Linked DNA regions of Ovis aries. The protein of the gene in region 2 interacts with the protein of the main gene of each other region in a pairwise test. Links are inferred from orthologs where the notes say so. Each region holds a gene or a part of one and is shown on either strand. Other genes may lie near its edges.

Evidence for each region.
Region 1: the proteins of PPFIA1 (region 2) and CCNH interact in binary tests that used the Homo sapiens proteins (3 or more experiments, as listed by UniProt). The link is inferred for Ovis aries from reciprocal best matches to the Homo sapiens genes PPFIA1 and CCNH.
Region 3: the proteins of PPFIA1 (region 2) and PTPRF interact in a two-hybrid assay, tested with the Homo sapiens proteins (2 studies listed by BioGRID). The link is inferred for Ovis aries from reciprocal best matches to the Homo sapiens genes PPFIA1 and PTPRF.

Annotation. Positions count from the first base shown.
Region 1 is NC_056058.1:84,668,214-84,671,856, forward strand, and holds part of CCNH (cyclin-H), read right to left. Parts: intron 2,329-3,643; coding exon 2,255-2,328; intron 1,302-2,254; coding exon 1,091-1,301; intron 1-1,090. UniProt on the Homo sapiens protein: Regulates CDK7, the catalytic subunit of the CDK-activating kinase (CAK) enzymatic complex. CAK activates the cyclin-associated kinases CDK1, CDK2, CDK4 and CDK6 by threonine phosphorylation.
Region 2 is NC_056074.1:43,817,856-43,821,974, reverse strand, and holds the start of PPFIA1 (liprin-alpha-1), read right to left. Parts: upstream 2,854-4,119; 5' UTR 2,750-2,853; intron 1,543-2,749; coding exon 1,279-1,542; intron 1,044-1,278; exon of another isoform or gene 1-1,043. UniProt on the Homo sapiens protein: May regulate the disassembly of focal adhesions. May localize receptor-like tyrosine phosphatases type 2A at specific sites on the plasma membrane, possibly regulating their interaction with the extracellular environment and their association with substrates.
Region 3 is NC_056054.1:18,193,598-18,197,671, reverse strand, and holds the start of PTPRF (receptor-type tyrosine-protein phosphatase F), read right to left. Parts: upstream 2,856-4,074; 5' UTR 2,666-2,855; intron 1-2,665. UniProt on the Homo sapiens protein: Possible cell adhesion receptor. It possesses an intrinsic protein tyrosine phosphatase activity (PTPase) and dephosphorylates EPHA2 regulating its activity.

The DNA.
Region 1 (3,643 bases), on a different chromosome or scaffold from region 2:
CCGCATTGTGCCTGACACATAATACAAAAGTGCAATAAACACCTGGTGCAGACTGATGCATGAGCTTGCCAGCATGTTTTTAAAGCTGCAAACCTGATCATATCACTCCTCAGACCTGACCCCTTCACTGGCTTCCTGTCAACTCTATGCAAAATCTGTAACGTAACTTCCACAGTCTAGACTGCCTTCCACTCAGGCAGACATCCCCATCCCTCAGTTCTGTTTAGGTTCTTCAGTGTACCATGGGTTTAAAATCTGGGCCTTTGGCCAAAGAAGCCTCTGAGCAGGATGCTCTTCTACCACCCGGTCCCTGCTCTTGCTCTGGATTTCGCCTTGTTACACTTTCTCAGGACTGTCTCCTCTTCCTCTCAATCTGCCATCTCCTTCTAAAGCACCCTGTATTTCCCCTTCTGTTAACATTAAGCACACTGAATATATGACACTTTCTTGTGAGACTATAAGGCCTATAAAGTTGAGGCTGTTCCTGTCTAGTTCTTGGCTAATCCTTAAGCACCATGTTTGGCACAAAGAAAGCACCCAAATTTTGCCACTCAAGATGAATGGACCAATAACTCACACTACTCAAGTCCTTCTTCAGGACCAAAACAAAACAACTTTAGTTGCTTTTGTTAGTGTTCTGACAAAACATTTTATTTACTGTTACTTTTGATGCTTACATATTGAATTTAGTTCACAAGGTCCTAAAAATAGAAGTCACTCAGCAATCTTCTAGTTTAAAATTAAGCCTTTTGTATCCAAGACAGTATACTTGAGTTAGAAGAGTTAAGTCTTTAAAAGTGTTACTACAAAGACACAATGGTCTTCATTAGGGTCCCTGGGCTGGCATTTGCAAATCTACTAAATCAGAAGCTCTGGGACTAGTCTGACAATTTCAGTTAATAAGCCCTCCAGGTGGTTCTGAAGCACTAAAGCACATTGAAGTTTGAGAACTATTGCCCTAAGAATTCAGGCGAAACTCATATTTTAGTTAAGCCCATCAGGATCATTATAAATTATAGCAAAATTTTGATTCTTTTAACAGCAGCAAAGGAGTTCACTCTACCAATTTACTTTACATCAGCAAGATTACCTTTAAATCAATGAGAAAGCCCTCAAAGGGTCTGTAAGGATTGTGGACAATAAGGTGGAAATTAAGTTGCTGTATAAGAAGCAGTTCATATTCCAGAATCTGTTCGAGTGCTTTCTCTTGTCCAAGAGGGCTCTCCCGCAGATTTCCAACAAACTGTGGACTAGATACATTGAATTCATCTACTTTGCAAGCCAAAAATGCACAAGTGAGCCTAGAGGAAAAAATAAGGGGAGGAATATGTATAAAATAATGAAATATTTCTAAAAGTATGTTCTAAAACTGCCTAATATTCACAAATGACTATACTAGACATCTTTGGAAATTGGTTAAAAAAAAGTTTCCTGTTTAATCTTTTTATTCATAAGGTGACTAAAGCTGTAGGTTGAACTGTATAATAGTGTCACAGCATTCAATTATTAACTTAATGGCAGTTCAGCCTAAATATCTGGGAAAACAAAATAATAGGAATAAGAGAACTCAGCATCATGAAAAACAAATGGAAGAAGGAAAAAAAGGCACACACATAAGTACATACGGGCCTGGGAAGAAAGTTACGTCAGAGAAACACTGTGACAAGCCATCAGTGGAAGTCTCTACGGGCATTTAAATAGAGGGTTATTGCCTCAAGAACAAGCCTATTAAACTCTCATGGCTGCTACATGAGTTTCAGAGTGAGAAGGATGGGACGCACCAAGGGCCTGACCAGGACTGGTAGAGATGAGAATGAAAAAGAAGAAATAGACAGGGACAGTACGACTGACAGCAAGTTCTTTGCTACGTTTCATACTAACTTCATCTGTAACGATACGCACAGTGCTTAGCAGAGACCAGAAACAACAGATCTTTGTTCAAGTGGAATGAACAGGGAACTACAGGACTTGTAAATTTGTAGAGAAAGAGAAGTTGCCGTAAATGATTCTCAGAGCAACTGAGTGAAGAAAGGTTCCACTAACAGAAAGATATCAGGGTAGCCAATTTGAGAGAAACAGAATGTGAATTTGGACACGTGCCAGTACAGATGTCATCAGAATTTGAGGGAGCAATCTTAAGTTCAGAATAGAATACAAGTATAAATTACCCTTTATTAGGAAGTCATTTTCACACACGTACATGGTCACATAGTAAAAAAGTATTCTTAAGTGAAAATCAATAAATTATACTTACATTATTATCCGGGGGTGATATTCCATTACTGAGTTATTAAGATAAAAGCGCTTGAAATACATACAAGCTGTACCCTAAGATTAAAAATACACATATTATCAGAACCTATCACACATACAAGTTGTTCTGTATTAAAAAAAAAATTTTATGCAAATATTCCTTTAAAAAAGTCACTGGTAAAAAAATGCCAAAACTTATTTTTTTCTTAACTCAAAATAAATTGTGATCGGAAGATCCCCTGGAGGAGGGCATGGCGGGCTACAGTCCATGGAGTCACAAAGAGTTGGACATGACTGAGTGACTAAGTATACACATATATTTGTATAATTTATACAAATGATCAAAGCTTAATCAATCTTATAAAATACTGATAGAATAACACTGTTAGAGCAATGAGTCTTCTCTTTAAATCCACTCTAGATCTGTGATCTAACCATGATCACTGCTGCCAAACCAAACAGCAGAAGGAGCACCTACCATTTACTGACCGCATCCCATGTGCCACACTTTGTGCCAAGTTCAAAACTATTACCTTATTTTAATTCTTATAACAATTTGGTGAAGTGTTGCTATCTCTACAGAGAAAGAAAATAATATCAATGAGGTTAACTGACTTGCTCAAGGTCAGACATCTAACAAGGAACAGGGATGTTTTCAACCAAGGTCTGCCTGTACTTTTAACCACTATTTCATTTGGCTAGAACCAATGAAATAAATATCTATTTTAGGATGGAAAAAACATATTTCTTTTTAAGTACTTCTGAAGCTTAGTTTGGTCACTTTACATGAAACAAACATCAAAACTATCAGTTATAAAAAATAAGTTATATAAAGGCAAATCCACAAAGAAGTTTATTCAAGGATTCAGTTTCTTCATCTGAAAAGATCACTTTAACCTACTGCCTCATGTTATAGTTTTCTTATCAGAAAAGACTAAGACCAAATCTGGAGATGGAAAGGAAGCACATCTAAAATTTTACATAAATCTGATCTCAGATGGAAGTCTGATTAAAAAAAGAAAATACTATGAATACTTTTGGACTATATTTTCAATATACTTCATTTATCAATTTTAAAAATGGAGATTATTTACTAGGAGCTTATTCTTTTGTGAGTCAGAGATTATTCAATCAGTTTAACTTTAAAATGTATGATCTACTTTCACTTAAGACTTTCATATTTGATATTCACAACAAATCTGTGAGGTTATATGGAAAAAATAAAAGCATATAAATTAAGCTTTTAAGTTGCAGTTTATTTTCTATCAACAAGAATACACATATCCAGATGGGAAAACAAAATAATACTCCAGTAGAATAAGTGAAGTGGAGACACACAATCTACCTATAAGAATTCAGATTAAGGATGGTAGAGATCAATGATCCAAGA
Region 2 (4,119 bases):
CAAGACAAATACAATTATGAAAAAACAAAAGAAAAATGCCCAAGTACTGAAAAGACTTACAAACACTACAACGAAAGCCCAGTAAAGCACAACCTGGGCAATCCTTCGAGGCCCGTGGTGGTGGCGGCGGCGGCTGTTCAAGTCTAAGTCGTGTCCAGCTCTTTGTGACCCCGTGGGCTGCAGCACACCAGTCCTTCACGATCTCCTAGAGACAGTGTTACTGGTGATAACACTGGACCCAAACAAACCTGGTAATTTACAAGACTCAAATGGGAAAAACACTTCCATGATTCTCATGTCTGACAGAGAAGGAACGTCATAGCACTGCCATAAAATTCCTGTTGCTAAAGAGGAAGTCCACATGTTTGGCTTATCAATCTTTCAGGAGACTTGACGAAAGCCAAGAAATGCATTAAGGCTAGTAATTATTCATTTACTAATTTACCACCACAGACCCATCACGAGAGAATGCACGCACGCTTATTCAGGTCTATCTGACGGCACCATAAAGGCGCCTATCATGAGTAAGCCAAACGGCGCCTCCGCAGCCATAAACACCCGAGGAAACTTCACGGCTCCCGCTACACTGCGCCACCCACCTCACAGTCTTCAGCTGACACCTCCCTGCACCTATCATCAGATCCTCACTCGGCGCCGCAAGAAAAGGCCTGGAGACACGGCTCTAAACGCAATACCCTTAGATGAAAAACCTTGTTGTGACTGTGAACTTTATAATCTTCAGCTGCTAAAGAGAAAGTGCCGAAGGAACCCATCTTCTATCCTCTGAAACAAACTTGACTTACAAAGCACCTGGCTGCTGAGAAAGGCAGACTGTAAATATATTCTTCCTGGGAGATCCATTCCATTTGTCCAGGACACTGCATTAGGAAACTGGAAATCCATGATGCAACCCACAGAGTCACACGATTAGGAGGGGAAAGGCTTACGGCAACAAAGCAGAAGGCATCGCAGAGACTCGTTACTTGGTGGCCCTTTTTTCCAAAACTCTGCAGCGCTTCTCCAAATCTAGGCGGCTCCTTCTGCTGACCCCCCAAAGAGATGAACAGGACCGATAAGGTGTCTTCACAGGACTCGACAGTACACGAGTTTGCTCTAGCTAAGACGTTTAATCCCCCAGGAACTCTATCTGTATGTGACTTACAAATAACAGAACCACCGCTGCGCAAGTGATGATGGCAAAATACACATCTAAAATAGCAGCATGCCCCCCCAAAAAAAGCATTTAGACAAAAACCTGCAGGGGAAAGTCATCCATACCTGTGGAAGCGCAGTATTGAGCTGCCTCTGCAAGGAATCTCTTTCGTGACCAACCTCATGCAGTTTCCCCTGGGTTAATGCCAGCGTTTCTTGGGTCTCTCTCAGCGTGTCGAGAAGACGGTCCCTCTCTTCCAGCATGGACACCATCAACTGTTCAAAATGTGAGTCCGCATCCGGCTGCGAAGGGGAGCTGGACCCTTGGCTCCCACTTCCTCCCGGGGGGCCTTCGGCTTCACTGATGGTCGGCATCACCTCGCACATCATCTTGGAAACAAAAGACCCGGACCACCGTCATGGGGCGCTTCTAAATAAAGGCTTCTACAAAGCTGCAACTTTCTAGCTATCTGGAGCTGATAAATGAAAGGCCTTACTATTTCCAGATCTGACTGCTAGGCTCTGTAGAGAGAAGTACGCTGGGAAAATACACACAGGCCTATCCGAAGTGCAAGGCACACCCAAGATGAAGACATGAATACTGACGATCATCAGTGAAGGGGTGGGTAAAGACCAAAAAGACTACCCCTCACATAAGGGACAACCCTTGTGGCATTTTGTTTGCAAAGCCGTACTTTCTGATTGTTGAGAAACAAGCGTGCTTCTGTAACCCCCCCTTTTTTTTTTTCCTCCTTTCTTATTTCCCGGTTGGGGGGGGTGGGGCGGGGAGCGGCGAGGGAGGTAGAAAGTCAAAACACGTGCCACCCAATCATGTTTCAGGAAAAAGCACAGAAGGAGCATACAGTCAGTAAAACTGACAAGTACAAAACCCATCAGGCATCTTACAGGAATGTGTACAGTCAGCTCCGGGGAAGGACCGACTAGCTCCCCGGATTCTTGGGCTGGATTTGGTGAGCGCTAAACGGGAACTAGGCTCGTTACGGACTGCGAGAGGTGCATTTGCAAAGACTCCGCTGGTTGGTCAGTCAACCTCACTTATGTAAGGTCACAGCCTCTCCCCCCACCACCCCACTCCCTCCCCCCCAAAATATTCCACAATGGAAATATAGCGGGTCGAGATGGATAAATAGGAATGGAGGAAAAGTGAAGGGTGAGACTACCAGAGGCTCCTCTGTCTCAAATGTAATGACGGGGCGAGGGGCGGTGCTCCGGGGTCGGCGGACCTCCGGGACGGAGGTGCCCAGCCGCGCACCGCGCACCGGACGAGAACGACGCCTCTACCCGGCTCGCACCCGCGCCCCGGTGCGGCAGCAGCGGGGACCCCAGGGCGCAGGGGACCGGTCTCCACGGAGCCCGGCCTGGCCCCGAGTCCTCGTCCCTGCGCCCAGCGCTGGGTCACCTGGCGCCGGGGTCAGGGAGGTGGGGGTGGGGGGGCGGCGCACTGCCCCGCGAGCCCGTCCGCCGGGGGTCCCCCCGGGCCGCGCCCCGCGCTCCCGGGGGCGCTGACACTAAGCAGCCGTGCGCCGCCCGGGGCCCCGCTCCGCACCGACCCTGCCTCGGTGCCCCGCTGCCTTACCTTGCTCGCCGGCGGGAGCGGGCGAGGACGTTCCGCGGGCGGCTGCTCGCTCCAGGCGAGCTCCGGGCCCGACGAAGGCAGCCCGCCGCCCGCCGCCCGCCCCGCGCCCCGCGCCCCGCGCCCCGCGGCCCCGGGCCCGCCGCCCCCAGTCACTGAGGCCGGCCCGCGGCCGGACACTGGCGGAGCGCAGGAGGAGCGGGCCCGGCGGCGCGTCGCCGGCGTCAACGTGCCCGACGTCGGGCGCGTCGGCGCAGCGTCAGCGCCGAGCGCCGCCGGCACGCCCCGCCCCGTCCCCCAGCCCCGGAGAGGCGCGCGGGGGCGGCGGAGTGCGCAAGTGCCACCACCTCCTCAGTGGCGGGGGCTGGCCTCTCGAGCTCAGATTAGCTGGGTCTGACCGGAGCCACGCCCCAAACCCCGCCCCAGACCCCGCCCCAAGCCCCATTCCGAGCCACGCCCCCAACCCCCAGGTGGGTGGGCCGATTTCGAGCCCCGCCCCGAGCCCCGCCCAAGTGGGTGCGCTGTTGCCGAGCCGAGGCTCTGGGCTCCCGGGTCCCGGGTCTGTGCCGCGTCCTGGGCAGGATCTTCCGCCTGGGGCTGTCTCCAGATCTCCGCTGACAGCCGCGGGGGTTCACCAACGGTCGTCATCGAGCGTCCACTGGAGTCAGGTTCTGACGGCGAAGGTCACCGCTGCATCCACACCTGATGGTAGAGCGCGCCCCGCTGCAAGTCACCGGCTCGCAGCCTGCGGACAGGCCTCCGGAGCCGCCCAGGAGCCCATCCTTGCACCACTCGGAAGGACGCGGTCTCAACGCAAGGCCCCTTACCGAGCTTCACCTGCAGACCCGGGGAGACAGAGGTGGCAGCGTGATGTGGACGCTCCTGGTCGCTGCGCCGAGAAGGCAGACTTTGGAGCCAGACCCTCCAACTTCAACTTCCAGCAGACGCTTCTCCCCGCAGTGTGGGCCTGAGCAACGGGGAATGGGGGAATGAATGATACAGACCCACCCCAGGGCTGTTCTAAGAAACGGAATTTGTAGGGAGCCACCGAGTCACCTGACTCGGGAAGTACTCAGCGAATGACGGGCATTTTTATCTTTCTCAAACATTGTTATCCTTTTCATATCCATATGTCATCCTTGCTCAAACGTTTAAAAATGCCTTCTATGCACCAAGTCCTGTGCTAGACTTTGCAGATACAGATATTAATTAGTGTACTTTAAATTAAAGCAGGTGCTTGCCGCTCAAGGTCTGTCTCCTGGATCACAAGCTGAAGTGTCTGGGCATTGTTGCCAAGCGATGCTGGCCACTGCTTGGCTAAGTCTAAGCCACCAGGGTACCCTGTTAAGAAAAGGCTGCATGGGGCGAGGCGG
Region 3 (4,074 bases), on a different chromosome or scaffold from region 2:
CAAGGTCTCAAACTGGAAAGTGGAGGGGCTGTAGCGTGTGTCACAGCCTCTGTAGGAAGCAGTCTGGGTCCTATCTCCTGCTAAGTGTACTGGACTTCCACAGTCAGGACTGACGAGAACAAGACTGGAGGGAGCACAGAGAGCAAAGGCCGGCATTTTGCTGCACATAAATATAATTCCCAAGGAAAGCAGCCAGGCTGCTCTTATTGCAACGCTCCCCCTCTCCCCGAAATCCCCTCCCCAAGTGCTTCACTAGCCTAAACCTCGCCTCCTCCCCTAGAAGCCGGGACAGCACACACACGCTCACTATGTGCACAAGGCTGACCAGAGGGGAGGCCAGGAGCTGCAGAAGGAAGGAGAGAAGAAGAAATTATATGAAAACTATTTTCTTTGTAAAGGGAGAAAAGAGGGAAGAGGAAGAGCAAGGAGAAAACAGAACTACAGAGATGTCTCCAATGACAAGGGGAAACTGAGCAAGCAAAAATGTATGAGAAAATGTGTGCACAAGAAAGCATGAGGCTGCACGTATACACACACCCTTCCTAGGCTGTGCACAGGGGAGCAGTGAGAGTGTAAGCAAGAACACAGGCTGGGACATGGGCGTGCAAACACAGCAGATTTTGGAGCTCTGGCTGTTGCGCAGGCCCAAGTGTGCAAATGAGAGGGCACTGGGGAGACAAGTGGATATGGAGTGGAGGTGGGGGTGGGAGGGTGAGCTGAGTGTAGAAACAGGGGGGTGTGAGTGTGTGGCCTGGGCTGGGGCTGCGGATGTTGGGGGGCTGTGCTTGGGGAGGCTCACCTACTCCTTCCTGAAGCCCTAGGCTCATTCATACCATCAGTGAAAAACTGGGATTTTCTTGCTCCCTGAAGCGAGAGTTAATAAGGAGCCAAACACAGAATTTCCTGAGATTTTTCTGACAGAACCTTGCTCTGGATCCCACTGGATGCCATATGCCTCTCAAAGGATCCCTCAGCAGATCTCCTGCCTTTTCGGTGGATCCTTCACCACTGAGGATCCCCCTGGAAGCACCAGCCCTGGATCTTTTTCCAGGCCTCTCACCCCAATGCACTCCTCTGGATTCTCTGCTCAGATCCCACACCAGGTCACTCTGGGAGCCCAAGGGGAGTCTTCATCACCAACACTTCCGCAGTCCAGACTCCCAGGCCTGCCCCCCCCCACCCCCGTCCGGGGCCCCCAGGGGAATCCAGAGGACCCTACCCCCCACTCCTGCCAGCAGCCTCCTTTCCATTTCACAGCTCAGACAGGTACCCGGCACCCACCCATCAACCAGTTCCAACTTGGGGGCCCTGCACTGGGGGGTGGGGGGTGTTGAAAAGAGGAGAAAAACTAGCCCCTCCCCCACCCTAGGGTGGAAGAACCAGAGGGGCAGCATTCCAGAGGAACGAGGAGGAGGTCTGGGTCTCTGCAAAGGGGCAGCAGAGATTCCAGTCCGTGGGAGACAGAGACACCAAGAGACCCGACAGAGACCCGGGAAGGGAGACCCAGAGATGGGGGAGGGAGCAGAGAGACCTGGGAGGAGAGAGCAGAAAGCCGGGAAGAGCACAGAGAGACCCAAGAGAAGGAACACAGAGACCCGGCAAGGAGCACAGAGAGCCGGGAGAAAGAGCACAGAGAGCCAGCGAGAGAGCAGGGGAGACCCGGAGGGAGTCGCAGACAGCAGAGAGACCCCGGGATTGCTTGGGGGGTGGAGTGGGTTGAAAGTGGGAGGCCGCGACACGGGGAGACAGAGATACAGAGGCTTTGAAGGGCGTAGAGAGACGGAAACACGGAGGGAAAAGGAGAAATAAGCCGAGACAGGATCGTGGGCACAGCGATGAGGACCGGGGCACACCAACACGGGACGGGACGCCGGGCGGCGACTGAGTGAACTTTCCGGAGCGGGTCCGAGTGGACACGTCCTCACGGGACAGGTCGTCCCAGGGCCTTTGGGTCACTGCACCCGGGGAGGGGCGGGTACAGCCCGGCCCAGCGCCTCCCCAGCCGGCGCCGGCGACTTGGGTGCGGGGGCTGGGGAGGTGGGGGTTTCCAAACTCGCGCCCCGCGCACCCCGGGACGGCACGTGCGCCCGGGCCGCGAGCAAGACGGGGGCGCGGCGGCTGCGGATCCCCCGCCGGCTGGGAGGGGGCGCCTGTGCGGCGGGGGCGGGGGCGCGGCCTGGACCCGCCCGGAGCTGGGGAGGCGGTGGGAGGCTGAGGGCCGCCCCCGGAGCGTGTCCGCGCCGGTGGTGGGGGCAGACGAGGTGGGACCCAGGAGGGGGAGCCCCAACGCAAAAGGGAAACTTTGCGCTGGGCGGGGGGGAGGGGGGCGGCGCGGGCTGCGGCTCAGGTGCGGCGGGAGGGAGGGGGCGAGGCGGAGAAAGGGGAAGGCGCCGAGGGGCGGCAAGGAGCTAGCCAGCCGGCGGCAGGGCGATGGGGGGGGGGGGTCCGTCTGCCGCGGGGTAACGCGGGGAGGAGCCGCCGGGCTTGGTGGGGGCGCTTAGCCGAGGCGGCGGGCGCGGCAGGTGGGGGCGCGGCCCGGCCTAAGCGGCGCCCCCAGCCCCCCGGGACCGCCCCCAGCTCCGCTCTGCGAACGCGGGGAGAGGGCGGGGGAGTGGAGAAGGGACCGATGCGGAGGGAACTGGAAGGGGGCCCGGGGGTCACTCACCGCCTATCCAGGGGCCGTCGGTCCGCATGTCCCCCCAAGCCTCTGGGGCCGCTGCTCCCGCTCCTCTTCTGCCGCCGCCGCCGCCGCCACCGGATCCCACTCCCGCCACCGCCACCCGAGCTGGAGCCGGAGCCGGAGCTGGAGCCGCCGCCTCTGCCGCCGCCGCCACCGATTCCGCCGCTCCCGCGCCAGCTCCAGCCGCGTGCCCGCGCCCACGCCCGCGCCCCTGCCCCTGCCGTGCGCGTCCCCGGCGCCGCCCCTCCCCTCGTGCACTCTCGCTCGTAGAGCTGCTGAGCCGCGTAGGCCCGAGGCCGCAACCCAACCCCGCGTGTAAACCGACCCGGACCCCAGTACAGAACCGGAACCCCCATAATAAGCATGGGCAGACCCAAACTTCCATACGAAGTCCGGATCCTACTAGAGGCTTCCAATCCAAATGTGAACCTGATATTACTCTAGGACCCCATTTTCTCTCCGTAGAGATCTGAACCTGCTATTGAGCCCAGACCCACCCCAACTCAACAGTAAGTCCAAACCCCCAAATCTGCCGTGAAGTTGGCTCGAGTAGTAATTTTAATCTGAACCCCTTTATTAAACTGAAATTCCAATTCTTAGGCTAAAATCCCTTTATCACCTCTTCTTTGATCGTGACCCCAGCATCAACCCTGGTCCTTAAATGGACCCCAGTACCAATGCTGAGCCCCAGTCCCTGTGTGAACCTTAAAATACGATAGCTACTTTGCTATGGTAGCTACCCAGCACTTTTTTGTGAACCCCAAGCCTTTCCATAAAACTCTAATACTGCAGTCCCAGACCCAGGTCAATACCAACACACTTTGTGAACTAGGATTGAGTCCCTGGAAAAGGACCCTAATACAAATACTGACCTCAGACCTTGTCCATTTGAGGGCCCATTTAAGACCCTAACTTGACTCACCTCTAGTGGTAATCTTGGAACCTAAGATTTATGAGACTGGCCTTGTAGAAGCTCCACACAAATCCACTGCAGCCCCATACTCACTCTCTACTCTTCTGACCCTATATCAACCCCAGCCTGAGGCTGGCCAGCACCCCAAAATCAGCAATGCCAACTGTGGACCTGAGTCAGGTCCTGAATTGGCCCTTAGTTCAGCACTTGATAGTGTCCTCCAAGCCTGATATAAACCTCAGTATTGAATTTCTGACTCCTCATATCAAACTTAAATGCTGACCCTATAAATCTCTGGCTAAACCAATAACTTACCAACAGATTTACTAGAGGTTCTAACTCATAGGAACTTGGTGAGCTCCAAACCAAGAGCCACACCTTGGCACCAAAGCCTCTGATCTCAGACCTACCGTGCAGTCCATATCACATCAGCCCTCTCCTCATGAAACTGCCACCCTCATGAAACATGGGGAGCCTACCT